Diceros bicornis minor: one gene and its partners. The protein of the gene in region 4 binds, or shares a complex with, the protein of the main gene of each other region. Links are inferred from orthologs where the notes say so. Each region holds a gene or a part of one and is shown on either strand. Other genes may lie near its edges. The genes, in order: TAF3, TAF10, TAF11 and TAF6.

Region 1 (7,593 bases), on a different chromosome or scaffold from region 4:
TCTCCACCTTTAAACAATCATACTTCACAGCTCAACTTAAATCTCATCTTTCCTGGGAAGTAATCCTGCCCCAGAACCCACAGCCCACACCCATCTCTCCTTTACTCTATTCCTTTTGCATTTACTGCCTAGACCATGCAATTATTACATTAGAGTACCAGTCTTGAAGAGTCATTCTGAAAGATTTAGCATCTGCTTTCGGTGCACATACACATATTTAATACATAATACGATATACGCAGAAAATGTGCCCCTGAAAGCTATGACAAATCATTACCTTAGGGGAATTTAAAAATACATTATTTATTGAATTAATAGTAACTTCCAATACTTGCTTTAACTTGAGAACACTTTTTTTTTTAAAAGGAACAAATTCCATCAGTTTGTTTTTGTGGACATTTTGACACCCTTGTACACGCCTTATGGGCAGGGATTGTGCCTAAGTAATTTCATGTCTCCAACATCTAGCACAGAGCTTAGTTCATAAGTGGTGTTCAACAAATGTTTGTCAAAAAGACAAAAAGGATTTAAAGGAATAGAATATAAGATTGCACAGCAGTAACCTGAGGTTACAGAATTCGAGTTTAAAAGTAGGATAGTATAGCAAAAAGAACCTAAAAAAGCCTGTAACTAATAAGTATAACAGGAATTAGCATTTTAAAAAAGTCACCAAACCACAATGGGGAATAATGTATCTGATAATTGCATTCTCACTAAAAGCAAGAAAATCGACTACAGAAAATTGGGTAATTAGGAAAAAGATTCACATTAACGCATAACAATGATCACGCGATGACTATGGAATACCTGACGACTTGGAGCACCAGCACATATTCTTGTTCTGTGTATAAGGCAGGAAAGGTAACTATGTATTCAGGGGATATTTTGATTACCTAAATGTACAGGACATCTGTCTTATTTAAGGAACTTGGTAGCAAAAATACAATCTGGACTAGGCATAACCGTAACAGTATACTCAAGGACCATGAAGGGGGCCGAGAGGGAAAAGAAGCAAAAGCCAGGAGAGTAATGTGCTGGTGGGGTACTTTCAAAATAACAATGAATGAGAGTTACTTGGGAGTTCCAAATTTAGATTAGAAGTATCAGTGAAACCAAGCATTCAAAAACTACACATTTTCAAAACTCAAAAAGTGAAGTGGTTAAATAGCTATTATGGTAGTGGGTTATCAGTTCATTCATTTATTCAAATATTTCCAAGGTGCCTATTATATTATGGCATCATACTAGGTTACAGAATACAAATAAATTTGTCTCCTGGGGAGGAGGAAGGAGAGGGACATACACAGATGATTACAAAATAAGGTGTTGAAAAACATAACAGAAATATGCAGAGAATTACGAGAGTAGATAACATGAGTTTCCTAAAGCAAGCGATAAGCCAATCTCAAAATATAAGTAGTACTACTGGTGGACCAGGGGGCAAAGACACTGTAGGACACAGCATGCATATAGGCCTGGATAGCTTAAAATGTTCCAGAAGAGGCAGGTAGCTCAGCATGGTTGCAGAATAGGATGGCATGATGGCAGAAGATAAGCAAAATGCTAGTTCACAAAGGAAACCGAGCACTGCTTAAGAGTTTAGATTTTCAGCCTGTAACCAATTGAAATATTTTTAAGAATAACACGATCTGATCTGTGTTATGGACAGATTATTTGGGCAGCACTATGGAAGCTGGAACGGAATTTGGGGCTTAAGAAGTAAAGTGTATCCATGGGTCTCAATTTTCCAGTCTAGGAACTACTTCTAACAAAACAAAATATCCTATGAAACACTTCACCCAGTTCTTCAGCTTATCGCCTTAAAAATAATGACCTGAAACTTAAATGAGGGGTAGTTCCCCTCCACACCCACACTTCACATCAATGAGATGATGTGTGGCTTCTATTAAATATTCCAAATTATTAAATGCCATCAGCTATAGACACTACCAGACATAAACTTAAAAACCATAAGTACTTGCAGCCCAGATTACCTGGAGAACCTTGTAAACTGCCCTCGACCCCTCGACCACACTTCGATGACCACTGACACGAAAACAGAAAGGAGGAAAGCAATGGGCGACTGAGATGTAAATGAAAGTTTTACTGAAACTGAGAAAGTTGGCCTTGAGAAAGAGTCAACGGAGGTGCCGCCTACGAGAACAGATACACAGAGGAGAGGCAGGGTCCCTAACGGAGCAGAGCTGTCAACGAGGATGTGTGGTTATGAGCTGAAGAATGGCCAGCCTGGTAAGAAACGGCCGGTAGACGGAGCGCCTGTGACAACTAGTTGTAGTAGTTTGCGGGCAAGGGAGGAAAAGGACCGAAGTAGAAGAGGCTGTGAGGCATTCTGGAGGTGGTTCTACACGCAGCAAAAACGAGGCGAGGAGAAGGACCGAGGCGCATCTCTGATCAGAGAAGGGTGGGAGCGCGAGGAGCCGGGAGCGCAGGCAGGGCTCCCGGCTGGCGGCGGGAAGTTAGCGGATGAGGAAGAGGCACCCCGCGGACGACTAGAGTTTCCAGGGGCAGTGGAAGCGGAGGGGCGTCAGCGGCCGAGACGACACCCGATCTCGGGGTGGGGGTGAAGGACCAGCACCTCGGGGACGCCGAGCGAGCGCAGGGGAGCCCCGAGGTGTCACTCGTGACTGGCAGAGGCAGCCCTCCCGCACCCAGCCCGGTACTCACAGAGCTCAGAGTACCGATGGCAGCCCCGTCCCAACTGCTGCAGGTAGCGCTGCAGCACGTCCGTGAGGAGGTGGCAGGCGCTGAGTTGCACCGAGTCCCAGCCCAGCGCCTGGCAGATCTGCGCCACCGAGACCCTCAACAACGACCTGGAGTAACTCTCGCACATCCCGCTCCGTGGACTCCACCGCAGCCCCTGCTGCCACTGCTCTCCACCCCCACGGCCTAACCTTAGCAGAGCCCCCGATTCATCCTCTGGGGCCCCCGCGGCGGGGAAATCGTCCCCCCCCGACCCCTGGCGACCACCTCAAAGCCTCAGCAGCACGGAGCGCGCCAGCCTGAGAGCCGCCATTTTGGACTCGCTCCGCCTCCCGCTGGACGGTCGCCGGGGCGAGGCAGCACTAGCCAAGTGCTGAGCGCGCCGATGAGGAAGCTCCGCCCCGCTGGAGCGGAGCGATGGTGTCGGCATCGGCTCTCGGGCCTGGACGGATGCGGGAAGCGGCTGTGCCGAGCGCAGGTGGAGGATGCGCCCCGGAGGCAGGTGCGTGGGGCGCTCCCGGGGGGGCGCGCGTGTGGCGAGGAAGGAAGAGCGGACTGTCAGTGGTTTAGGGGCAAAAGAGGGAGCCAGAACATGATGTTGAAATGGGGTGTTAGAAGTGGGAACCTGACGGGCGGGATTTGGGGCGTGGGAACTGAAGTGTTCCCCAAAACATGGATCTGACCTGGTCTTGTCTCTGCTCAACACGAACAAAAAAATTAAGCTGCTTACCATAGTGTAGATTAAATCAAGTCCGAGGCAGTGGCCTCTGTGTAAAATTTCTGGGGGCACCAAAAAACTTAATCAAGATCAATAATATTTTAATACAATGTTTTTTTTCAAAGCCAAACTACTGCCAAAGAAAATCCTGCCGCACGTCATTCTAATCCTAGCCCTGATTCCAATAAAACTTTATTTACAAAAACAAAAGGAAGCGAGAACTCAGTTGCCTACGAAGGCCAAACAGGTAAATCAATGAAGCAGGCTGAGTGTATGGGGCACTGTTGCCGGCTCCAGAGCTTTCTCCCAGCTCCCGCTCATTGTTGTCAGATCTATCCAATTTGTTAGAAATCGGAATTTTGATAAATACTTTGATTTTTAAATACTGGGAATACATTTTGAAGTTTTAATTTGCGTGCCACACTAATGCCACAGTTAGGCTAGCATCAGCCTGTGGATAGCCAGGCTGTAATAGCTGATCTAGTTGGTTTCTTAAATAGGCCCTTTTATGCCTGAAGTGCCCAGGTGGCAACTGTAGCTAATATTTTAGTGGGACTCCTGCTGTGTCCCCTGATGAAAGCATTCTCCCTTCTGGAAATCGGGACTATCAACCTGGAGAACCCAGAGTTGCAGAGACAAGAACAGTTTCCCAGGGCCGGCCCCGTGGCTTAGCGGTTAAGTGCGTGTGCTCCGCTGCTGGTGGCCTGGGTTCTGATCCCGGGCGCACACCGACGCACCACTTCTCTGGCCATGCGGAGGCCGTGTCCCACATACACCAACTAGAAGGATGTGCAGCTATGACATACAACTATCTACTGGGGCTTTGGGGGAAAATAAATAAATAAATAAATAAAATCTTTAAAAAAAAAAAAAAGAACAGTTTCCCAGATGGGTCACTGGGAGTGATGGTAAGTGGGGAGACTCCAGCTTCCACCCCAAGTTGTTTACCTATCAGGAACCCAGCACCACAGACAAGTCGTTGACTTCAAGTGTATGCAGCATCCTGGGGGGCTACGCCCCATCCTCACAAGTACTGCCTGTGAGCTGGTACTTTACCTGTGCCTTCAAAGGCCTTTCCATTGCTCTCCTGGGCTAACAGCTTTGGAGTGGTGTGGTATGTGATAGGACCAGTAGATGTCGCGGTTGTATACCCACTCCCAACCTCCTTCATTGTAAAATGGATCCTTTGGTCTGACACAGCGTGATATGGGACACCAGTACATCCAACACTGTGAGCAGGAAAGGCAAATCTATACCCAGAATATGGGTCTATTCCTATCAAAGTGAATGGCTGCTCTTTCTAGGAAGAAAGGGGCCACTGTGGTCAACCTGCCAACAAGTGGCTAGTTGGTCTCCTTGGAAAGTGTATTAGTCAGCTCAGGTTGTCATAATAAAATAACACAGACTGGGAGGCTTAAACAACATTTATTTTCTCACAGTTCTGAGGCTGTAAGTCCCGGATCAAGGTGCAGGCAGGACTGATTCCTCTGAGGCCTCTCTCCTTGGCTTGCAGGGGGCTGCCCTCTTGTTCTCTCTTCACATGGTCTTCTCTGTGCACTCTCTCTTTGTGTCCTAATCTCTTCTGATAAAGACACCAGTCAGATTGGATTAGGGCCCACCCTAACAGGCTCATTTTAATTTAATTACCTCTTTAAAGGCCCTCTCTCCAAATACAGTCACATTCTGTGGTACTGGGGGTTTGGGCTTCACCTATGAATTTGGGGGACACAGTTCAGCACATAGGGAGTCAGCGTTGGTCTCTGTGGCAGGCAAGTGGGTTCGACACTGCCCGATGCTCTGCCAGGTGGGAGGGTTTCCCCTCACTGCTGTCTTGCAGGGCCACATGGAGTAAGGCTATGGCAACAGTCACAGCCACAGTTTGTGGCTTGCATCTACATGCCGAGCCAGTTCGTCCATGAACTGAGCTAAGCTTTTCGTCCTGCCTGCTCTGCTGGTCATAAGGAACCCCCATGCAGCCACTGGTCTAAAGTGAGGGAGAGTGATGGTGCATCGTTAATGATGGACCTTGGGGTCTGGCCTACCTTCTCACGCGCTTGCTTGTGCCCTCCCAGCCCTGCTCATGACGGGTCCTGAAGTACCACTTTTGTCTTAGGATGGATTGCCACTAGGCTTGACTTTTTGACATAGGTCTGACAGAACCCAGCTCGTGATGGGCAGTTCATAGTTGGGTAGTGCCCATGGTCAGACACTCCATCTCTAGCGGGGCCCACTAGCATAGCAGGAGCTGGTTTTCAAAAGATGTAATTCTCCACTACATATGTCATGGACTTACTCTAGAACCTAAGGGTCTGCGTTGCTACTTCCCGTTAGAGTTGCCATCACCTCCACGTGGAGTATTTTCCCGTCATGGCTACCTCTAATAACATAAGGTCTACCAGGCTATATGGCCCAAGTAGGGGAGAAACTTGCACTGCTCCGGAACCTGCTCCAGAACACTTTCCTACTCTGGGCCCCAACTCAAAATTGGCAGCTTTTCAAGCCATCAGTGTATGGTTAAGAGCAGAATTCCCACATGTGGAATATTCTGCTTCCAGAACCCAAAGATGCCTACCAGGCATTGTGCTTCCTTCTTCGTGGTGGATGGTACAAGATGCAACAAGTTACCCTTTGCAAGAGATGTGCCGGCATGCCCCAGACCGCTGGACCCTAGAAATCTTACTGATATGGTGGGCCCCTGAATCTTTGTAGAGTTTATCTCCCACCCTCCAGAACACATGTATCTTACCATGACCTTTTGTGTACTAGCCGCTTCTTACTTATCATGATTGCATTCACCTGGCTTCTGACTCATCTGCAGTTAGAACACTCCTACCTGGCCTCTATCATTTTAGGGTCCTGTCATCCTCATATTTCTTGCCTACCTGAACACTGATGTTAACCGCCCAACGTGGGGCCTTCTGCTCGCCACAAGACATGCTAATAGTCAAGAGGCAAGGTGGTAGGAAAGAAAGGACTTTTTTATTACAGCTTGCTAGCAAGAGGGAAGATGGCCGAGTAATATCTAAAAGAACCATCTTAAGGGGGCACAAATCTTACAGTAGTTATCTAGGCCGGTGGGTTATAGGGGAGGGGGTTAGGAATGTTGACCTTCTGGTCTTACAGACTGGGAGTCGCCACACCAGATCTTTCAGTTTTCACTGATGATGGCTATCAGCACAGACTCTCTGTTCGGGGGTCATCACATTCCTAAGGAACTCAAAAAAGCAGTTATCATCTTATCACAGCTGGGAGGTACATGCACAAGCAGGGGTCGTAAAATCTACAGAGCAGGTAGATCTGGAGGGAGCATATGCAGCTGGGTTAGTTTGTCAGACGTCATTCAAAATTACAACAGAATTTTTCTTTTCAACAATATGGCTTCCCTTATGTCAACTTTGTCTTGAGCCGGTATCACTGATACATCATACCAGCTTGTTTCCCCTGTTGTACTACCCCAGTTCACTAGTGGTAAAAGTTTTACAACCTGCACATTCAGGAACTACTTACTACCTTGTGCCCGGGACTTTTTGTGCTCTGCCTACCACATGGCCAACCAGATGGCTGATCCAGCTCCCAGATCCCTTCCATTATCTTAGTGTCTGCTTCCTCAAGCCCTTCTGGTACAAACTGTGCCAGTTGGGCTCTGCAGGAAGCAGTCTCTGAGGTGGAGATTAGCCTGCAGAGGCATGCCCTTGGGATCACCACCTGGGGAAGGGAAGGGCTGGAAAGGAAGTAGCGCTGGGGGAGGGAGGTGTTGGGCTGCCGGCCCACCCTCAAGGAGGACCTTGGCGACCCCTAGAGAGCTGTAAAGCTGGGAAGGCCCTTCCTTGTCGTGAGTTCAGGTACGGGGGCCTGGCCTTTATACTCCCACACTGATCAGGTGCTGGATGTGGGCATCCCAGGAGGGGGCCATGATCTTGGGCAAGGCGGTCTCCAGTGGAGGCAGTTCCAAAGAAGATTGACAGCTGAGGGCTGTGTGCTGACAGCATTCGCAGCAGCTGGGTGAATATGTCCTTCAGTCCTGCTGAAGCGGGATCTGGGAGGTGCATCACAGCTTCCGCCAAACCGTAATACCATTATCACATGCAGCAAACTCAAGATTGATACGATAATATTATCCAATAAAAAGTGCATATTCAGATTTTCCCATTGTC
Region 2 (6,152 bases), on a different chromosome or scaffold from region 4:
ACAATAACTGTGGTGGGGCTGGGCTCTCATACTGTGTATGTTTGGATATACAGTAATCCTGTCCTGAGGGCTAGAGGCCTTTCCCCACATGACTCAAGTTCTGAGACCTACCTGGTTTTTCCCTGTATCTGCAGGTGGCACTGGAAGGCCTTCGGCCTACCATCCCACCAGGCATTTCCCCCCATGTGTGTAAGCTCATGAAGATCTGCATGAATGAAGACCCTGCTAAGCGACCCAAGTTTGACATGATTGTGCCTATCCTGGAGAAGATGCAGGACAAGTAGGGCTGGAAAGTCCTTGCCTATACTCCAGAGGTGTCAGGACACAGGGGAGTGCACCTCCCCAGAGCTGCAGGCCTCTGGTTGCCTTCCCTGCCTCCAGTCATGGTACTACCCCAGCCATGGGGCCCATCCCCTGCCCCCGTCCCTACCACTGTGGCCCCAAAAGGGGCTGGGCTCAGAGCTTTGTCACTTGCCACACGGTGTCTCCCAGCATGGGAGGGATCAGCCCTGCCTGTCACAATAAAGTTTATTATGGAAACAGGCTGGTGTGGGGTCAAGGGGACAGACAAATACATTTAGGTTGGGTGGCTCAGGTGAAGTAGTGCGGCTTCTTCACATTGATGCCATACTCGCTGAGGGCAGGGGTCAAGTCCTCCATGGTTAGAGTGTACTTGCGGTCCTGAGGGAAGACGGAAGAGCACCAGCTGAGCAGAGGAATCCCAGATTTTAGTCCCAGGTGATGACCCTGAGTAGGTCATTCACCTCCCCTAGAGCTTAGTTTCCCCAAAGGAGTTTCAGCATAAATTAAGCCTCTGCTGCTGGGGAGGTAATTACTGATTCAATGAGCCTCCCCTCACACCTTGCTCTTGCTTCGGGAGCTGCCAGAGGCTGTGCCCTTCATTTTGCAGTGCTGTAGGGCATCGTTGGCAATATCTGAGATGAATTTCTGGGCAGCTAGGGAGATGAGCCGAATTCTAGAGAGAAAAAACTGGTATGAGGAGGAGATGGACAACAGAGTCCACACAAGCACCCAAGGCTCTAACCTGCCCACAGGTTACTCACATGCGTGGGTCCGAGGCCTCAAAGCCAGCACGGTTCAGGTAGTAACCAGTCACTGCATCTGGGATCTGAGAAATCAATTAGATGACTGTCAGTGTTAGCCCTGTGCACGGCAGTGAGAGAGTAAGGGAAATGGGGGAGGACAGGCCTGGCTATCAGGAAGCTCACAGTTTGGCTGGGCAGAGGGGATAAATCACAAGAGCTAGCAGGGAAGCAAATACAAGAGGACGCTGGAAATCCAGGTGGTGTGGCGGAAAGTTGGCGTGACAGCGTGTCAACAGCCTTGTTCAGGCTGGAAGCCCACCGTAGGCGTGTAATCCTCCAGCTGCATCAGGAAGTCCACCAGAGGCGTGCTGGACACCACCGGCTTCACCTCTCCGTTGGCCGCGCTCGGCAGCACGTAAACCCCGTTAGACATGGCCCCCTCGGGGGGCGCCGCGCCGCCCGCCGACACCGGAGCTGGAGAAGAACCAGCAAACTGAGACACGGAGGTGGGGGGCGCAGGGCCCCGGCTAGATCTGCCTTAGACCCTCTGCTCTCACCCGCCGCTGGGCCCAGCCCAAGGCGCTGCCCTCGCCCTCACCCGTCCCGGCCCTCACCCGCCCCGCGCCGCTCGGCCGGCTCCCCGGCCCGCGCCGCCACGGGTCCCGTGCCCGCTGCCGCGGCTCCAGCCCCAGGCCCCCCTGCTGTCCCCGCGGGGCTGGCCTTGTTCTCCACAGCAGTGCCGGCGGGCAGCGCGGCGGGGGCCGAGACCGCGGGCGCCGGGCCCGGGGCCGAGGCGGCGGAGGCCGGCGCCGCCTCGGGGTCCGCGCCAGAGCCGCTGCAGCTCATCGGGCCGGTGGGAGAGGCGGCGAACAGAGCCACTTCCGCTTCCGCTCACGTTACGCACACACACCATGGGTGACGTCACACGCCTCGCGACTCGCCGCGCCCACGCCGTGTTCGCCCTCCGCCGTAGGTTTTCCGCCTCCCGGTTGCCCATCCTCCCGCTGGATGACATGGACTGAAGGTTGGGGACCAGCCTAGGAGAATGGCGCTGGCCGCGGACATTCCACCCTCTACCCGCGCCGTATTCAAGTGTTCCGCTGGGATGGGAACCCTTGAATGTCGAGGACTCTCTTCGGTGGGTCTGGGACCCCCTCATTCAGTCTTACGCCTAAAGACCTTGCTTTGGGGCTCCTGGGCCCAGCCCCCTCGACCAGGAGGCCTGCCAGCCTGCATCCTTTATAGCTCCCTCATTCAGTGTTTTTAAGGCTTAGTAATGGAGTTGGAAAGCCCCCACTCCCCGCCAGCTGCCGGGAGAAGTGAGGGCAGCGGGAGAGCGCACACAGTGTTGCTGTAGATGGTGGAAAGAGGTATTTCAGCCTGGGTAAACAACATATGCAAAATCACAGCGAGTGAAAAAGTGGGGTTTTAAATGCAGCAAACATTTATTTGATTCCTATTTGCCAATCCTGAGCTAGGGCCTGGGAATACAAAGTTAAGTAGGACAAGATTCTAGTCCTCTAGGCACCAATGGTCTTGGAAAGGGAGGCAAACAGGTAATCTGGCAATTTCAATATTATGTGAGATTTATAATCCTAGAGGTAGACACAGAATGCGGTGCAGCAGAGGAAGGGAACTAACATCTGCTGCTTACTTCTGTGTGTCAGGTGCTCTATCAACTTGATTCCATTTAATTATTCCTTGCTTGTTATGAGAGGCAGGTATCGATATCCCTACTTAACATGAGAAAAAAGCCTCAGGGAGATGAACTTACTTGCCCAAGGTTCTCTTCTAGTCTATATCAGAACCAAGAATCAAACTGGTTTGGTTTCAAAAATCTAGGATTTTTCTGACATGCCAAAATCAACTAATTTCAGGAAGCCAAAAGGTTCACAGGAGAAGGTGACTTCTGAGCTGATTCTTGAAAAAGTCCTGGAAGTCAACCAAGCAAAGGGGAGTTAAGAGTAGTGTTAAGGGCACAGAATGTCTTGAGCAAGAGTGAAAGTGTGGGGAGGAGAGCAGGGGAGGATAAACAACTTGTTACTCAGGAACAAACAGCAAGGAAGGGATCCAGTTTGTGAATCATGGTAAAAAGACTGAACTTTATCCAGTAATCTTTGAAGGGTCTTAATCAAGTAAATGACCTGATGGGATTTGCATTTTACTCTGGAAGATGGTTTAGGGAAGGGCAGAACGTAAGGACACTTTTTGCAAGGGCCTCCTACAGTTCAGAGGAGAGACAAGATGGCTCTAAGCTAATGTAGTAGCAGTGGAGATGGAGAGAAGCAGACGAGTTCTAGATATACTTAGGAGACATAACTGGCAGGACTTGTGGATTGATAAAGATGTATTTAAGAGGTGAAGTCAATAGGACTTGATTGAAGGTGGTGATGGGGGGAGGTGAAGGAAATGGGAGTCTAGGATGACACTTAGGTTTCTGGCTTGGTTGGAAGAAGCGTAGTATCATTTACCAAGAATAAACAAAAGAGAACAGTTTGGGATTGGGAAGGAGGGAGATCAAGTATTGAGTTTCACACATCTTGCATCTGTGGTATCAATTACTGTTGGATAGAAAGTCTGATTTGGGAGATGGTGATGGCTGTGGATGCCAGTGATTGATTTCTTCCAGGGGACAATGGGTAGAGTGACGAGAGCAAAAGACTAAGGATGGAGCAATGAAGTACACCAATATTCAATGAGGAAGAAGAGAAAGAGAAGGAGGAAGAGGGAATGAAGGAGGAAGAGAGAATGGTCAGAGGAAAAGTTAAGCCCTGGAAGCTAAAGAAGGAGAGAGAGTGAGCAACTATGACAGAGAGCCCCTAAAGCGGAAACTGGGACGTGTGCACTGGATGAAGCAGCAGGGAGGCCATTGTTTCTCAGTGTCGGGAGGAAAAAGTGAAAAAATGAAAGCAGAGGTTTCGTTGCAATGAATTGAGAGAATATGTGGTGGAATAACGTATACAGACTGCGTAGACAACCCTTTGGAAAAGTCTGGTTGAAAAGAGAAAGAAGAAATGGGGGGGGGGGAATCCCAAACAGTACTGGTTATAGCATCTGTAGAGGAACCTGAGGCAGGAGTAGGGAGACCTGAGTATCATGGAGCAGGGAAGCATTGGGAATCAAGTCAAGCTCACAGCATTTCAGGGTTAGGGAGATAAACTATCTGCAGCAGTCAACAGTTGAGGGTTCAGCAGGGCTTCCAACTGCAGAATAAGGGACCGAGCCGCCAGCCGTGGGGCAGGGGACAGGCCCATTCTCTTGGTAGGAAAGGGTCAAGGGTTGATTAGTGTCTTCAGTAGAGCTGGGAAGTTGGGTGTTCCCCAGCCTGTCACAGGATCCCAGCCAGGGCCAGAGCAGAAACCCTCACCCTGCACCTCTTCATTCAGACAGGACTCATGGCAGCCACGGGTTACCTAGGGAGAAAGTGGGCATCAGATTTGGGTCTGCTGGTCCCAGTACTAATAGACTGCACTCCCTCACATTGTATTCACATCCCAGGGGCTCTCCCACCCCGTAAGAACTGCCCTCAAGTTCATTTTAGCACTCCCCATACTCTTAGGAAAACGTCCGCCCCCTTCCATTCCACACTTACATCAAAGAGTCCTGTCCCACGCTGCTGGTAGAGCCTTGGGTTGAGAAAGCCAAGAGAAGGGTGGCCACTGAGAATTCTGTGTTCATTTATCAGGGCTAGGAGACCCCCAAACACTGGAGTAGAGGCCTGCAAGGGTGAGGGTGTAAGTAGAGGTTAGGGGTTCAGAGTGATTGGACTTTGGGAGAGGGATGTTTGAAAGGACCAGAGGTCTCTGAGGAGTCAGGGGTTCTGGGTGCAAGAGTAGTTGCTGAGTGGGGGTTTTGGAGCCAGGCTGATTCTCACCGAGGTGCCAGACACCCATGGAATGGGCACATTGTTGCTGACCACCCAGTAGCCATCAGAGAGTGCAGCCACATCTGGGTAGGCACGGCCACTGGCGTTGAAGTAACTGGATGGCGGCAAATGGGGGCTGGAGCTCAGGAACTGGGATACAGCTTCCTCCTGAAAGGCATTGCTGAGTGAGTCTTGTCTGCTGAACTGAGGATCCCCCCTACCCATCCACCCACACAAACATATGCGTACCTGGTATGAAGGCCGTGGGAACACATTGCTAAAGCCACCACCACTGATATAGTCAACAACTTCATTTGTGACTCGGAAAGGATTCTGGAAGGATGTGCCTCCCACCGTGGTGACATAGGGGCTGAGGGCAGAAGACAGCGCTCAGATCGTAGGGGTCCCAAGGGGACCTCCAAAATGAGTAGGGATGGGGAAGTATGCCCTGGATCTTGCATAGGGGCTGGACTTGCAGAGGGGCTGGACTCTGTAGGGAAGCATGTACAGGGGGATGACTAAGAGGTTTTGAGCCCTCAAGGCATGGCCTGAGGTGACTGTGCACATTTTTCCCTATGGAACACCCACCAAATCTTTCACTAAAATGCCTGGGGACTGAGGAAAAGGAACACTGGGAGCTGTGTCCTACTCAGGAGTCTTGGGGCCTGGGACCTACAGGAAGAAGAGGGGAGTGCAGCAACCAGAGCAGGTAAAGCTGAGGGCTGAGTCACAGGAGGGCCTGGTGCGGTCAGGCAAAGGTTCCAGATCAGGAGGTCACAGATGAAAGGTTGGTGGTCACAGGTAAGTGGTCGGCTAGGGTGCTTACCTGGAGGCAGGGAAGGTGGGACGGAACTGGTGTCTTCCAGAGACAGACCAACACCCAGCCCCACTGTCACCTGGGAGAGAGACCGAGTTTAGCACTCAGATTAATTGGTCAGAGCTTGGTGTGTGGGTTCAGATGTCGGAGAGGAAATTCAAGTGTTAGTCATTACTGCAAGAGGTCAAAGTTTAGAGGTCAGTCAGTGGTCTCTGTTGAGTTCAGATTATGAGTCAGAGATGAGGTTCACATGTCACTGTGGGTCAAATCTGCCAGGTTGGGTGGGTGAGTGGAGGCGGTCTAAATTTGAGTAGGAGGTCACCTGAGGCAAAGAGCAGGGTAAGACCACGAGCAGCAGCCTTCATGAACTCGGTGTTGACCCGCTGGAGGTAGGCACTGCTGAGGGAGTCCTCGTCATCTCCGT
Region 3 (6,919 bases), on a different chromosome or scaffold from region 4:
TAGATAGTTGTATGTCATAGTTGCACAGCCTTCTAGTTGCTGTATGTGGGACGCGACCTCAGCATGGCAGGAGAAGTGGCACCACGGCGCGCGCCTGGGGTCTGAACCCAGGCCGCCAGCAGCAGAGCGCGCGCACTTAACCGCTAAGCCATGGGGCCGGCCTTCTTATAACTTTAAAAGTTTCTGTATCAGTGCCTTTGGCCCTTTCTTATTTCATAATGTTGTGCATATACATTTCAAATAATCAGGTCTTTCTTTTATCATTTCTTATGTTTTTTAAGTGCTAATTCATTAATATCTACTTTTATCCTTATTGACTCCTTGTTCCTACATTCTTCTGATTTATTTTCTTTTTCTAGTTTCTTGCGTTGGGTGCTTATTTTCAATATCTCCTGTTTGTTAATAAAAATATATAAGGATATGAATTTTTCTTTAAATAAAGTTTTGGTCCAATCCCATAGGATTTGATGTAATGTTCTCTTTGTTAATTTCTTTAATCTAAAGGCTATTTAGAAAACAGTTTAAAATGTCCGGGTATTAGTTTTTGGGAAGGAGTGGGGGGTGGGAGAAGCTTTTTGTTATTAATTTTGGGTTTACTGCACTTTACAAACAGGATGTGGCCTGTTATGATTTCTGCTTTTAAGAATTTATATATTTTTTTGGTCTGGTATACGATCAATTTTTAAAAGCATTTCAGAAGCAACAACAAAAAAAGAATTTTATCTTCTGTTGGGTGCAAATTTCTGTATGTAGTGAGCTCTCTACTGGACTAAGCTAATTATTCTTCAAATCCTTTCTGCCCTTGAGATCTATTTTAAAGGTTCCTTCTTAAAATAGTTTCATCACATTTTTCTCTTTTTCTATAAGTTCTTACTTTATATATTTTGATGCAACTTTATGCTCTGAATGGCTGTTTCCATCTAATCAAATGTCCTCCCCCATGATCTCTTTAAGTCCCTTATAGGTCTAAGACCCCAAGGTTCTATCTCTAGAAATGGAACCCAGAGAACGCTGAGATTCCGGTCCCCTGACTGATGCTCAGCTAGGCAACACTGCTGAGCTCTTGAGGTAGCACAACTGATGAATTTGGTGTTTTTATGCTATAGAGACCGTTGGACATTAGCACCCAGGTCACTGGTAGCAGTTAAATGTCCCCAGAGGGTAAAAACGTGACTAAATCAGTAACCCCTTCAAAGTCTCCCTTTAACGAATCTGCAGCCAATGACGAAGTTAGGCTTAAGCAACATCTAAGAGAAACCATATTGCGGGGAAAGGGGTACTAGGAATCCTGGGTTCTAGCTCTGCACTTAGTCACAGTGTGATATCAGATGCCAATTTCCTCACCAGGAAAACCAAGAAGCTATTTAAAATTCCCTTAGAAGTAGCTGTAACACCTAAAGGCATTAAAACTTTCCCTTGATTTTAAATTGATTTAAAATTTTGCTTTGATTAAAAATATTTACCCAGTACTTGGGTTTTTGGAACCAAACCAGCACTACAGTTTTGTCTCCTCCCTCCAGGCGCCCCCGCGGTTGCAGATCTAGAGGCAGTCATGGTGAGTTCGCGTTATCTTAGCTTGGGAGGGACCAACCAGGAAGCCGGTCGAGCAGCCGGTACCATAATCTCGGAGTACTCCCCCGGCCTCATCAACACATCTCTCCTTACCTCGCCTTCCTCAGCTGCGGCTTCTTTCAAGTCCCCATCTCCGTCCCCGTCAGTTTCCTCCGGGATTCCGTCGATGTCAGTAGCCCCGGGCCCCCCGGGAGCAGCGGCAGTCTCATCTGACTCCCCTGTCTCTCCACCTTTTTCCGTGAGCGACTCGCAGGCATTATCCATCGCGGCGAGAAGGGGAGAGGAGATCGCGGTGCTGTCAGACTCAGGAGCTCGAGACCGCGCGCGGCACAGCCACCCAGCTTACTTCCTGTTGTCGCGCTGCGATGACATCACCCCTACTGCTCCTCGGAGGGGTCATTCTGAGGCGCGCGTAGAGGACTTCAGGGCTCCGTTTTGACTCTGATTCGGTGGCGGTGCGGAGAGGGAAAATTGAGAGTATCGAAGTCAGTTTGGATTTTCCACCCTGCCAAACCAGCATTTGTAAAGGAGAGCTCTGTTGTTTACTGAAGGACGTCTTTTTTCTTTCTGCCTTTCTAAAAATGTCAGTTAACTGCTTCCTTAATCCGCTTTCCTCAGAGTCAAGTTCGGGGACGCGAGAAAAACTCAATTCCGTTGTACGCCCTTGTCGTGGGATGCGGCTGCCTGGTCAACTTTCAGTCGAGGACTCAACCTCATACGTTTCAATTGGACAGAGACTGCGGGCCTGTGTTTACACTGAATTGCCAGCATTCCTCTTCTGTTCCTCAAGCACCTTAAAAAAAACCAAAAACTCATATATCTTGAACAGAATTTATCCAATCCATTTATACACTCCTCAACTACTGAGCGCCTACTTCGAGCCAGGAACAGTGCTACTACCAGAAACAAAACAGATATAGTTTCTACTCAATTAAATGATTTTTCCAATTCACCAGTACTCAAGATCAGGATCAGTTTCACAAATCTGACTTTTTATGTCAGTTTGCTTAATCTCAGCAAAACTAAGAGGAAACAAATGCTACTGGGAGGGAGGTCTTTCCTTTGAACTTGTCACTTTAACGAGCCATGTCAGGGATTGGGAGCATGAAGAAGTGGGGATATTTCTATTTAAAATTTTTCCTCTCTTCCCTCATTGAGGTACGGAGGGGAGTATTTTACTCACTTCTGTTATCACTGGGTCCCCACACCCATTACATATTTAATTCATGCGTGCTGAAAGAATGGACTTGGAAATGTAGGTGCGCGTTACCATATTTCTCTCTTTGTTTCTACACTGCCTGGGTGAATTACCGTATTTCCTGTCCTGTGGGATCCCAAAACCTTCGGGGAAGGAATGCCCTTCGGGAGGCGCATACAGGTGGGCCCCGTTTGTCCTCTTCCACCCGTACAGTGGGTGCCCACACGGCGCAGTCCCCTTGCCCCTGGAGGCCTATCTCCTCACCGCAGGGTCCACTTCGCGCAGACCACAGCCACCTGCGCCCGCCCGCCGCGCCCCGCCGAGCCCCGCCCATCTAGGTGGGCAAGGGGGCGGGGCGCGGGGGCGCGGTGACGCGTGACGCCGGATCCCGGAAGTGACGCGCGCGTGGGGGAAAAGGCGGGGGGGAGGGGGGTGGTGTCCCTGGCCGCTTTGGGGGGTGCGTTGCCCGGAGACGGAAAGTTTGGGAGCCCGAGCAGGCTCGGCGGCGGCCCCAGGAAGGAGGTCCAGGGGGCGGCGGCCCTGGGGATGGGGAAGGAGCAGGAGCTGCTGGAGGCGGCCCGCACCGGGCACCTCCCGGCCGTGGAGAAGCTGCTGTCCGGGAAGCGGCTCTCCTCAGGCTTCGGGGGCGGCGGCGGCGGCGGGGGCGGCTCCGGGGGTGGCAGCGGCGGCGGCGGTGGCCTCGGCTCCTCGAGCCATCCCCTCTCCAGTCTGCTCAGGTGGGTAACGTGCCGGTGCCGGGCAGCTGCCTGGAGACCCCACCTCCTCTGCCCGTCTCCTGGGTCCCCAGAGAGGTCGGGGCTCCTGAGACCTGGGCGGGCTGGGTTTGCGGGGTGCCCCGGGGCGAGGGCAGGAGGCCCGCACAGCCGGGGGCGCTGGTGCGGGTCCGCGCGGCGCCTGGCTCTCCTCGTCTCGCGTCCTGACCCGGCTGCGAAGAATGGTGGGAGTGCCCAGGTGGCAGCCTGCACCGCATGGCACAGCCCGGCTTCACCCTCGCCCTTTATAGGGTGCCAGCTGTCGTAGCTCACAAGCCACTTTAGAGCAAAAAATACTTATGTATTTTAAATTTCCCTCACCTCCTGCAGAAACTCCCACGCCTTGCAGAATCTCGCGGCTCTCTTGGAGGAAATTCTCTTGATTTCTTTCTTTTGGGGACTTGGAACCTTCCATCAGGCTCTGCAGGACCTGGCTTGTGTTTATATTAAAATTGTATCTGGATTTATTACGTTCAAAGTGTTCTTTGAGCCCCTCTTTTGCTTGAAGCTCAAATTCTAGTTCCTCGTAGTGGACCTCGCTGGATTGGTCTGTTAAGTGACATAGGCAGGATTCATCAGGGGGGTTATTCATCAAGAAATAAAGCTTCAGAAAGACTTGTTTAGGAAACTGAGGGATGCTTTAAACTTTTCCAGGGTCTGTTGTTAAAATAAACGCTTGAATCTGGAGCTGTAAGGATTGAGAGAAAAAAGGTCACTTTTGTGTGACTCTGAGGGGGGATTGGAGGTGCTTTGTCAGTGTGAGTAAAATATGTTGGTTCAGCAGCACTTTCATAGCCTGTTTTCTTTTCCTTCCTTGTTCTTTTGAGGTTTTTAAGAAGTGGAAGTTCATGTAGAAATGACTTCGTTTGCTTTTGTTCCCCATTAGTTTATGTAACTTCAATTTAAGTGAGCTTGGACCAAAGAAGCCCAAGGGTCTAATAAATTGTTAGATTAAGCACTGAATACAAACTCAGGTCTATAGAGGAAGATTTTAAAAAGCAGTATAAGAGAAGAACTCTCCCCAGGAGGTCTTTTGGGGAGGCAAAACCCAGTACTGTTTGCTGGGATTTCTCCAGCCCCTAGAACAATGCTGTCACATAGTTGGTACTCAGCATTTGTTGAATAAAAGTATCAATGAGAGGATGATAAATTTCTAAATAAACTGATAGTGGTACTCACTGTCATTGTTAGTAGTTCAGAGAAATGAGACATCGCTTTGGAATGAGATGGAGATCAGGGCTTCCAGGAGGAGGGAAAATACAGCTGGCTTTGAAAGATGTGAAGATTTGGGTAGGTGAAGTATGGTGAGAGTGTTCCAGGTGGGCGCACCATGGTCAGAGGCACAGAAGTGGGAAAGAAGACTTATTTGGTGTTAGTGGGGCGCTAGAAGAACTTCCTGCCTGGAGCCTTGAGTGGTTGGGTGTGATCAAGGGAAATAATAATGGATGGGTGCACTTCCATCTTTCAGAGTGACTTAGTCTTGCTCTTGTTTATATTCCCAGTCCCTAGATCAGTGCCTGACAACTCAGAGGTCTTCAATAAATGTACTGTGAATGCATGAATTGGGTTTTGAATCTTACCTGGATTACTTTGATATTTCTGCACTTCTGATGTCTGAGAGATGAGAGAGACTCTACGAGTTTGGAGGTGCCTGTCTCTAATCAGTTGAATGATGTAGCATTTGGAGGTTCACCAGAGATATGTTAACCCCCAACATGTCCTGCTGGAGTGAGATACTTCACGTATCTCCCGCCTTCAAGTACAGGTCAAGTTACTCTTAGTGTTCTCACTCAGAGACTGTTGAAATTTTACTGAGGATTTAACTGCCGTGTGGTTAGGCAAGACTAGGAAATCTTTGTTGAGCACACTGTTTTTACTTTGGGCCTCATGTGAATATTCCAGTCTTTCATAAAGCGTAGATAGTGTCTCTATTCCCTTGCATAAGAGAGCTGATTCCTCCTGATTTGCTCGTGTCTGTTGTCGAGACAGTAGATGGCCTAAGAGCTGCCCCAGTCTCTTATCCCTGGGACTCCTAGGGGCAGGGAGGATCTGCAGGCACTAGTTACACTAGGTGTGTCATTAATTAGAGGTGACTCTGGTTCAACCTTGTGAAAGATTTCTGAGCAAATGAGACCATGCATTTAAATAATCCCTAGGTCAGCATGTCCTCCCTTTTTAGGTTTGGAAATAGTAGAGGGTAGGTCCCTTGTGCCCACACTCCCCACCTCAAGGACCCTGCGTTATTTAATGAGAGCTGTGGAATCCTAGCTGCAGATCTGGCCTTTGCATTAGCTGCCATATCCTAACCCCACTAGTACTGCCAACTAGAGCCTACGTTTGTCCAGCTGTTTGAGGGACCAAGTATAGCTGACAGGAGTAGGAGCTTACAGCTGCAGTGGATGTAAATGTTCCAAACCACGTGTGTATTTGTCTGGTCATCTATTTATGACCACCCCCCCAATTCCACAAAGGCTTCAGGCTTAAGCTACAAAACGCCCCCTCTCTCAGCCCATCCCTTTTTTCTTATACTGCTTGGGCTTAGGTCTTAACTTCTTAAAGCCCTCCCTAATGACCCACATACACACAGATCTCTCAGGCTTCTACTTCTTTGGAACCCATCTGTAGTGTACACTAGCTCTTCGACTTACATACTTTGCCTGCCTAGCTTTCACAGTTTGTTGCTTTGGCCTGTCAGTATAATGTTTACATAAAGTAACCCTCACCAATTGAGAATATACCTGAGAATCAGAAAGTCAGCAAAGAAGACTTCTACTAAAAAAAAAAAGTTGTTACACACTTCCTGTCTTTCTGACCTTCACTTATTTACTGTACATTTATTCAGGGGCAATATAATATTAGGCTTAAGACCACTTGTTCTGGAATCAGACTGCCTGGGTTCACATTCCACTGCCACCACTCACTAGCTGCTTAACTTTATACAAATTACTCAACCACTTTGAGCTTCCATTTCTGCATCTGTAAAATGGGGATAATATTATTTGCCTTATAGGTATTGTCTTAGGTAATGTGTGTAAGAAACTTAACCACAGTTTCTGGCACGTTGTAAGTGTTCACTATTAGCCATCCTGAGTTTGCTTCAGCACGTGCAGTTGTGCCATGCTGCCCTTGCTATGTGCAAAGCACCATGCCAGACAGATTTTAAATGGTGTTCTTCTATGCTTGGGTATTTGTTTTCCAAGCCATGGCAGATTACAAACAATAAATAAGGGAGAGGACCTGCTCAGGCACCCACATTATTGCCATTCACTTGCCACATGTTTACCCGTCTTCTGCTTTGTACCAGGCCGATTGCTAGACACACTGCAGAGTTTATCTCAGACCTGGCATATAGTAGGTGCTCTATCAAAATTAGTCC
Region 4 (7,006 bases):
TTGCTCCTCTTCCCCTTCTGTCTTCTCTTGCCCATCTGTGATCTTCTCCTTTCCAGTCCAAGTTTCCTGGAGACATGCTAAGTTGGATGATAGAAAACAATTTAGATATTGGGCCTGGGGGTAGTGGAGGGTGTAGTCTGGCAGGAAAGGAACCAGCTCACACACTTACCAGTTTCAGTAGCTGGGAGCACATGACCTTCACAGAGAAAATGCTGTAGGGGCTGCTCCTGATGATGGAAGTACCAGTCTCCCACAACATCTTCAAACTCCTCCAGCATCGTCTCACACTGGTCAAATGGAAGGGTCAGAAGGGTATCTGCTCTGCTGGGTTTTGGAAACCCTCCTCTCTGCACTTCACTCCCTGTCTCCCAACCCCACCTTGGAGAGGCAGGTAGCCAGGAGGTTAAACTTGGCTTACTAGATGTGTGATCCTCATTCATTCAACAAACATTCACCAGCACCTACTCTGCCAAGTAGGTTATTAAACTCTGAGTCTCAGCTCCTTGCCTGTAAAATGAAAAATGGTAATAGTACCTCCCACGTCAGGTTGTTGTGAGAGTAAAATGAGGCAGCAGCTGCAAAGTATGTGGCCCCGAATCTGGCACATAGTATCTGCTCAGTAAGTGACAGTGCATATTATTAGCCTCCATTATTACTTCTTGATATGCTCCTGGGCCCACTTCAACCGATGGCAGAGTCTTCACTCTGCCGCCTCTCCCTGCTTAGAAGTGGACCTCCCTAGGATCTAGCTCCCCTCCCAGGTTCCCTTCTCTCCTCCCTGGGCAGTGCTAGTATCCCTCCTACCTGCTTCTTAAGGAATGTGACCTCCACGCTGGGCTCGTCCCACAGCTCCAGAGGGATCCCCAGATCCACCTTCACCCCTTTCTGCACCAGGCCTTTCAGCGTTGCCATGGTCTGACTCTGCCCCTGAGAGATGGGAATTTGGGATGAGCCCCGCCCACTGCCCCGCCTCTTCCTTCCCCATTCCACCATATCAGTTTTGTTGACTAGCGGAGACTCAGGGGGGAGTTCCATGAAGGTAAGATGAGGGAGTCTACAATGGGGAGAGGATACTCCAGAGCTGGGGGAAGATGGGCGCGAGGGGATACAAGTGTTGTTTTTGAGAAGTGAGATCCTGCCTTGGGGAAGAGTCTGACCTTGGCATATCTCAGTGAGCCCTTGCGCTCAGCATGAACACTGTAGTCCAGAATCCGCTCACATAAGTTCTCCAAGGCCTCTTCTAGCCTTGTCTCTCTGTGGAAAGAGGGGAAACAAAGATGTCCCCGGATGCTGTGGGAGCTCCCAGGGCTCCTTCAGGGGTTGGAAGGTGGAGGAACACAAGAAGGACTCACGAAATGCTGTAGGGGATGTGTCTCTTCCTCTTGCCTGTGTCCAGCACCTGCCCCAGCTCCAGCATCTCTCGAGATCGGCCAGTGCGACCCAGCTCTTCCTGTAGCTCCAGGCTCAGCAACTTACACACTAGATGTCCAAGAGGATGTGAAAGACAAACAAACATACCAGCGACTCATTCTGCAGCTGAGCAAAGGCAGCAGAGAATGATGGTTCTAAGTGCAGACTGGAGCCAGCCTGACTGAGTTGGAATCCTGACTCAGCCACTTAGTAGCTGACAATCCTGCCGTGCCTTGGTTTCTTCACCTCTAAAATGGAGATAATAATAGTACCTCCCTCATAGGGGTGTGGTGAGAATTAAATAAGTCAATCTGTGTGAAGCTCCTAGCATAGTGCCTGGCACATAGTGAGCAGTATATAAGTGTCTTCTGTTGTTCTGCAGTCATTTATTGACCTCCTTCTGGATGCACAATAACAATACAGAGAGCAGTAAGACCCATGATCCTTATCCAAGGGACACTGCCATGTAGTTGGGGACAGAGAAAAACATGATGACAATATGGTGTGATAGACCCTACACTAGGGGTTAAAACCAAGAGACTTAGTCTCACTAGGAAATGCAAAATTCATTCAATGGTCATTTATTGACTTCCTACTAGCCTGTGATTTCCTTAAGGGTGAGCATTGCATCTGTTCCACCACTGTCTTTCCAGCACCTAGCACGTGTCCTGGCACAGTGACTCCCAAGAAAAGAGAGTGGCCCATACAGAAGGGCCAAGCAAACTAAACACAGGGGCAAGTAACAAAAGTGCCTAAAATGTGCCAGGCACTAAGCACTAGGCTAGGACCTGGGAGACCCAGGGATTCTCCTTCCCTCCAAGGTCTTATAACATAGTGGGAGGTGATAGAAAAGGAAGAAGGCTTCCAAAGGAGGTGACATTTAAACTGAGTCATGAAGCACCAAATACAGAACGGAGAGGGTCATTCCAGGCAAAGGGAAAAACAACCTGTAAAGGCACAGAGGTGCGAGAGGATAGGGCAGGCTTGGTGACCGTGAGAAGTTCACTGTGGCTGAGGCCTGGACTCTTTGGGGATGGGGGTGGGGTATGGAAATGTAAGAAAGGTGGGGGCCATACAACAAAGAGATGTATGCTATGCCAAAAACGTTGGCTATATTCTGACCACAGCAGGAGGCCTGCAGAGGGGTTAAAGCAAGGACTGACTGGGTCTGTGTTTAGAAAAACTGGCAGCGGTCGGGGGGAGAAGAGTGGGGACACAAGTGAAAGGAGAGGAGAGATTAGGACCAAGTCATGAGGAACACTGATAGTGAAACGCACTGTGGAGCGAGGTGAAGGGAAAAAGAATCCAAGGAAGAAATTAAAGTCAGGAAGGCAACAAACTAGGGAGCCAGGGCATTGAATGGCCCAACTCTGAAGTGTCCCCTCCCAGCTGGGCAACCCACGTGAGGCAGCCACAGAAGATGCTGCTCGCTGTAAAAGCCATATAGTACACACCCTCTGCAAAGCCTCACACGTATGGGGAACCTCTCCCAGTAGTGTGGCCTCCTCTTTCATTTATGAGCATCAAGGGCTGATTTACTCACCCCCAAATCCCCTCAGGAGGACGTGGGGCCTGTAATTTGGGAGCGTCTCTGCCGGGGTGGAGCAGAGGCTATCCACAAGGTACGAGCCTTACACGCTGTTCCTGCAGGCTCTCCAGATTTAGGTCTAGTGGTATGGGGGAAACACAAACACACAGAGGCACTCAAGATGCTCAGTAGAGTGGGCAGTCCTGGGCAGATAGTCCCTTAATTACAATTCCCACAAACCATTGGGGCCCAAGCCAACAAGGAAAAACGGGCTCCCCCTGGATGTCTCATGGCAATTGTAGTGCCATAGTTTGGGGGTAGCGCTATGGGTTCCTTCCCTTGACCCCATTCGAATTCCGCCAACCTCCACCAGAACCTCCCTCAGGCCTTTAAGGAGGTCGAGTGACCCAGCCATCACGGTCCATTTGGCTCGGCCTAGACGAAGGAGGTGGGGCAGAGGGATGCGAACAGAGGCTACTCCCTTTTGATACCTTCGCATTTGCTGGGCAAGCGTTCTGTGTCATCGTCCTCCTCTTTCGGCGTCCCAGCCCAAGCAACGTACACAGCCAAAATGAAAAGCAATATTCCCAGCCGCACAGGTCCCATGACAAAGTGCTGTGCACAACCAACCACCCCTTGTCGTCTAACCAACTTCGGGAAGGCAGCGGGCCCTTTAAATCGCGAGTCGGTCGGCGGCAACTTAAATCCAGCCTGGCAGGGGAGGCGCACGCGCAGTGCTGGCCCGAAAGGGGGTGGGGCCTCACTACGCTCCGGGCTTCCCCGCCTCGATGTGGTGGCGGCTCCGGAAGGTCCTGGCCGCTGGGTGGTGAAGGAATAAACTGAAGTAATTGCAGCAGGAGAGTGTGCTCCTTACATGTAGACACAGAAACAGTGTTTTTTATATCATTTCATACCGTGAGCCTAGGGGACTTATTCCGGCTCGGGGAAGGGGCAGTGTCTTGCTCTCCGTCTCTGCAAGGACCTGCTCCCGGGAGGGGGCGGGGCCAACATGGCGCCGAGCGCCGGGTGAGCGGCGCTTTGGCGGCGGTGAGAGACTTTTCCTGCCCTGGACGCTCGGCTGGCGGGGGCGGGTCTGAGTGGTACCCGGGGCTAGACCCTTTGAAGGGCCCGTGTGGGGACCCGGAGGAGGACGGTTGGTTGTGTGTCCGTGCGCGTGGGGACTCCGTGTGTGTTTGCATTGGAGGGATGTCGGGGGGGATGAGCCGGGCTCTGCGCTTCCTTTCGCGCTGTGCCCATTGCCTGGGGACCAACGACCCGCATCTCTGCTGGGGAGACTCTACACAGATCTAGCTCAAGTTACCCCTCCTCTGAGAAGCCTTGCTGCCCACTCCACTGACCTGAGGGGCTCCTGAGGTCGTAGCGTGTTTTATGAGCGTTTACTGGCGGAGGGTAACGCGAGGTATTGAAGGATTAGTAGGAGTTCGCCAGGGAACTGCGACACGACCGCTTCTTGTATACCTGGCTCCAGGCACAGAGTATGTGTTGAATAAATGTGTTCCCTGCAGATAAGACTTATAAACCTGGGGGAGGAGACCTGGGATGGTTTGAGAAAACCAGATTCTCTTTCGCTTCCATCTTCCCAGCCCTCCAGCACGCCCCAGCCGTCCCCCACCTACACCCGCAGTCAGTCCTAAACACTCTGACAGTAGTCTTCTTAATGCCAGCTTCAGGCAAACCACTTTCCTTTTGGCCGCAAAGTAGATTCCAAGCTTGGCCTTTATCTTGTTCATTTTGATAATAGTGGTACGAAGTATTTATTGAGTACCTCCATCTCTAAGCCTTACAATTCATTCGTTTACTCAACAAATATTTATTGAGTATCTACAGTGTCTCAGGCACCAGTCTGGGGTCTTGGAATACATTGGTGAATATAACAGAGATCTCTGTCCACACGGTGCGGGAAGGGGAGGTGTGGTGGTGATAAACAATAAGAAATGATACGATATATATTAGCAGATCTTAAATGCTATGGGGAATAAAAGGGCAGAGTGAGGATGAGGTGTGGTATTAAATAGGATGGTGGGAATGGGCAGCCAAGCTGACATGGGGGAAGAGCATTCCAGGCAGAAGGAACAGCAAAAGTCATAAAGCAAGAGCATGCTTGTCAGGTTTGGACAGCGAGGAGGACAGTGGGGCTGGATCAAGGTGGGATAAGAAAGGAAAGGGGGTCAGAGATGTAACGGAGAGAGGGCAAATCACGAAGGAGCTTGTAGACCGTAATAAGGATTTTGGATTTTACTGTATGACAAATGAGGAGCCATTACAGGGTTTTGAGCAGAGAAATGACCTAATCTGATTGATATTTTGACAGAATCACTCTGGCTGCTGTGTTGGGAAGAGATGTAGGGGGCGGTGGTGGAGCAGGAAGACCTTGTCAGAAGTTACCCAGATGATAGATGGTGGTGACCTGGCCTCGCAGTGAGAGTGAGACATTCAGGTTGGATTACCTGTGGGTTTGATTTGAGGACTCACATAAAGAATGAGCACCTGGATGGATGGTGTCGCTCTGAGGATGAAGAAAGCTGAGGCTGGAGCAGGTGGGGAGATCAGGAGTTCAGTTTCAGAAGAGATTTTATGTAGACAGTTTGACATACGAGTCTAGAGTTAAGAAGGCTCCGGGCTGGGGATATAAATTTGGCCATCATCAGCCTATGAGCTATACTGAAAGCTGTGAGAGTGGTTGAGGTCACCAAGAGAATAAGTGTAGCTGCAGAAGAAGACCGAGGACTGAGCCCAGGACACTCCAACATTAAGCAGATGAGAAGATAAACCAGTAAAGGAAACCGAGAGACCAGTGAGGTAGGGGGAAAACAAAGAGAAGGTGGTGTGGCAATGCAGTAAAGAAAGTGTTTTCAGAAGGCAGTAGTCAACTAGGCTATACGCTGCTGGGACGTCAAGTGAGATGGGGAAGGAGAGTGGAACTTGGATTTGGCAATGTAGAGTCATCGGTGACCTTGAGCCGTTTCAGGGACCAAGTGGGGTCAAAAGCCTGATTGGAGTAGGTTCAAGAGAGAAGGAGAAGACAGGAGTTAGAAACAGAGTTAAGACAACTCTTTCCAGGGCCGGCCCTGTGGCTTAGCGGTTAACTGCGCGCGCTCTGCTACTGGCGGCCGGCGTTTGGATCCTGGGTGCGCACCAACGCACCGCTTCTCTGGCCATGCTGAGGCCGCGTCCCACATACGGCAACTAGAAGGATGTGCAACTATGACATACAACTATCTACTGGGGCTTTCGGGGGGGGGGGGGGGGAGTCGGAGGATTGGCAATAGATGTTAGCTCAGAGCCAGTCTTCCTCAGCAAAAAAAGAAGGATTAGCATGGATGTTAGCTCAGGGCTGATCTTCCTCACACACACACAAAAAAAGACAACTCTTTCCAGGAGTTTTGTTGCAAGGGGGATCCGAAAAACAGAGTATAGCTTGTAGAGAAAGTGGAATGAAGAAAAGATTTTTTAAAAAATTTTTAATTGTGGTGAAATACACATAACATAAAACTTACCATCTTAACTATTTTGAAGTGTGCAGTTCAGTAGTGTTTAAGAATATTCATATTGTGTAACCATTACCACCATCCATCTCCAGAACTCTTTATGGTGCGAAACTGAAACTCTGTACCTGTCAAACAAGAACACCCTTTTCTCCCCTCCTTCTAGCCCCTGGCAACTACCCTTCTACTTTCTGACTCTATGAATTTGCCTACTCTAAGAACATCATATAAGTGGAATCATACAATATTTGTCTTTTTTGTGACTGGCTTATTTTACTCAGCATAATGTCTTCAAGGTTCATCCATGTTGTAGCACGGGTCAGAATCTCGCTCCTTTTTAAGGCTGAATAATATCCCATTGTATGGATAGACCACTGTTTTGTTGTTTTAGATGGGAAAAATCACTGCACTTTGTAGGCTGATGGGGATGATCTGGTAGGTTGAGAAATCGATGCTGCAGGGAGATGGGAGAAATGCTGGAGCAGTGCTTGAGCTCATGAGGGGCGTGAGCAGTTTCTCCACAGTAGCAGGTGTGAAGGCAGAGTATGTGGGCCCCAGTGCT

What was found.
Region 1: TAF6 (region 4) and TAF3 share a complex: the UniProt entries of both Homo sapiens proteins name them as parts of the TFIID basal transcription factor complex. The link is inferred for Diceros bicornis minor from reciprocal best matches to the Homo sapiens genes TAF6 and TAF3.
Region 2: TAF6 (region 4) and TAF10 share a complex: the UniProt entries of both Homo sapiens proteins name them as parts of the TFIID basal transcription factor complex. The link is inferred for Diceros bicornis minor from reciprocal best matches to the Homo sapiens genes TAF6 and TAF10.
Region 3: TAF6 (region 4) and TAF11 share a complex: the UniProt entries of both Homo sapiens proteins name them as parts of the TFIID basal transcription factor complex. The link is inferred for Diceros bicornis minor from reciprocal best matches to the Homo sapiens genes TAF6 and TAF11.

What each region holds. Positions count from the first base shown.
Region 1 is NC_080775.1:8,867,031-8,874,623, reverse strand, and holds the start of TAF3 (transcription initiation factor TFIID subunit 3), read right to left. Parts: upstream 3,014-7,593; 5' UTR 2,852-3,013; coding exon 2,686-2,851; intron 1-2,685. UniProt on the Homo sapiens protein: The TFIID basal transcription factor complex plays a major role in the initiation of RNA polymerase II (Pol II)-dependent transcription.
Region 2 is NC_080746.1:64,662,012-64,668,163, forward strand, and holds TAF10 (transcription initiation factor TFIID subunit 10), read right to left. Parts: upstream 1,908-6,152; 5' UTR 1,893-1,907; coding exon 1,661-1,892; intron 1,521-1,660; coding exon 1,366-1,520; intron 1,130-1,365; coding exon 1,065-1,129; intron 977-1,064; coding exon 862-976; intron 682-861; coding exon 592-681; 3' UTR 511-591; downstream 1-510. Other genes in the region: ILK (integrin-linked protein kinase), read left to right, coding at 135-284; TPP1 (tripeptidyl-peptidase 1), read right to left, coding at 4,319-4,459, 4,639-4,764, 4,921-5,079, 5,161-5,281, 5,738-5,802, 6,046-6,152. UniProt on the Homo sapiens protein: The TFIID basal transcription factor complex plays a major role in the initiation of RNA polymerase II (Pol II)-dependent transcription.
Region 3 is NC_080753.1:29,813,428-29,820,346, reverse strand, and holds the start of TAF11 (transcription initiation factor TFIID subunit 11), read right to left. Parts: upstream 3,019-6,919; 5' UTR 2,884-3,018; intron 2,366-2,883; exon of another isoform or gene 2,014-2,365; 5' UTR 1,837-2,013; coding exon 1,666-1,836; intron 1-1,665. Other genes in the region: ANKS1A (ankyrin repeat and SAM domain-containing protein 1A), read left to right, coding at 3,317-3,507. UniProt on the Homo sapiens protein: The TFIID basal transcription factor complex plays a major role in the initiation of RNA polymerase II (Pol II)-dependent transcription.
Region 4 is NC_080765.1:5,656,592-5,663,597, forward strand, and holds the start of TAF6 (transcription initiation factor TFIID subunit 6), read left to right. Parts: upstream 1-4,001; 5' UTR 4,002-7,006. Other genes in the region: CNPY4 (protein canopy homolog 4), read right to left, coding at 1-77, 170-287, 805-927, 1,158-1,254, 1,353-1,479, 3,430-3,544. UniProt on the Homo sapiens protein: The TFIID basal transcription factor complex plays a major role in the initiation of RNA polymerase II (Pol II)-dependent transcription.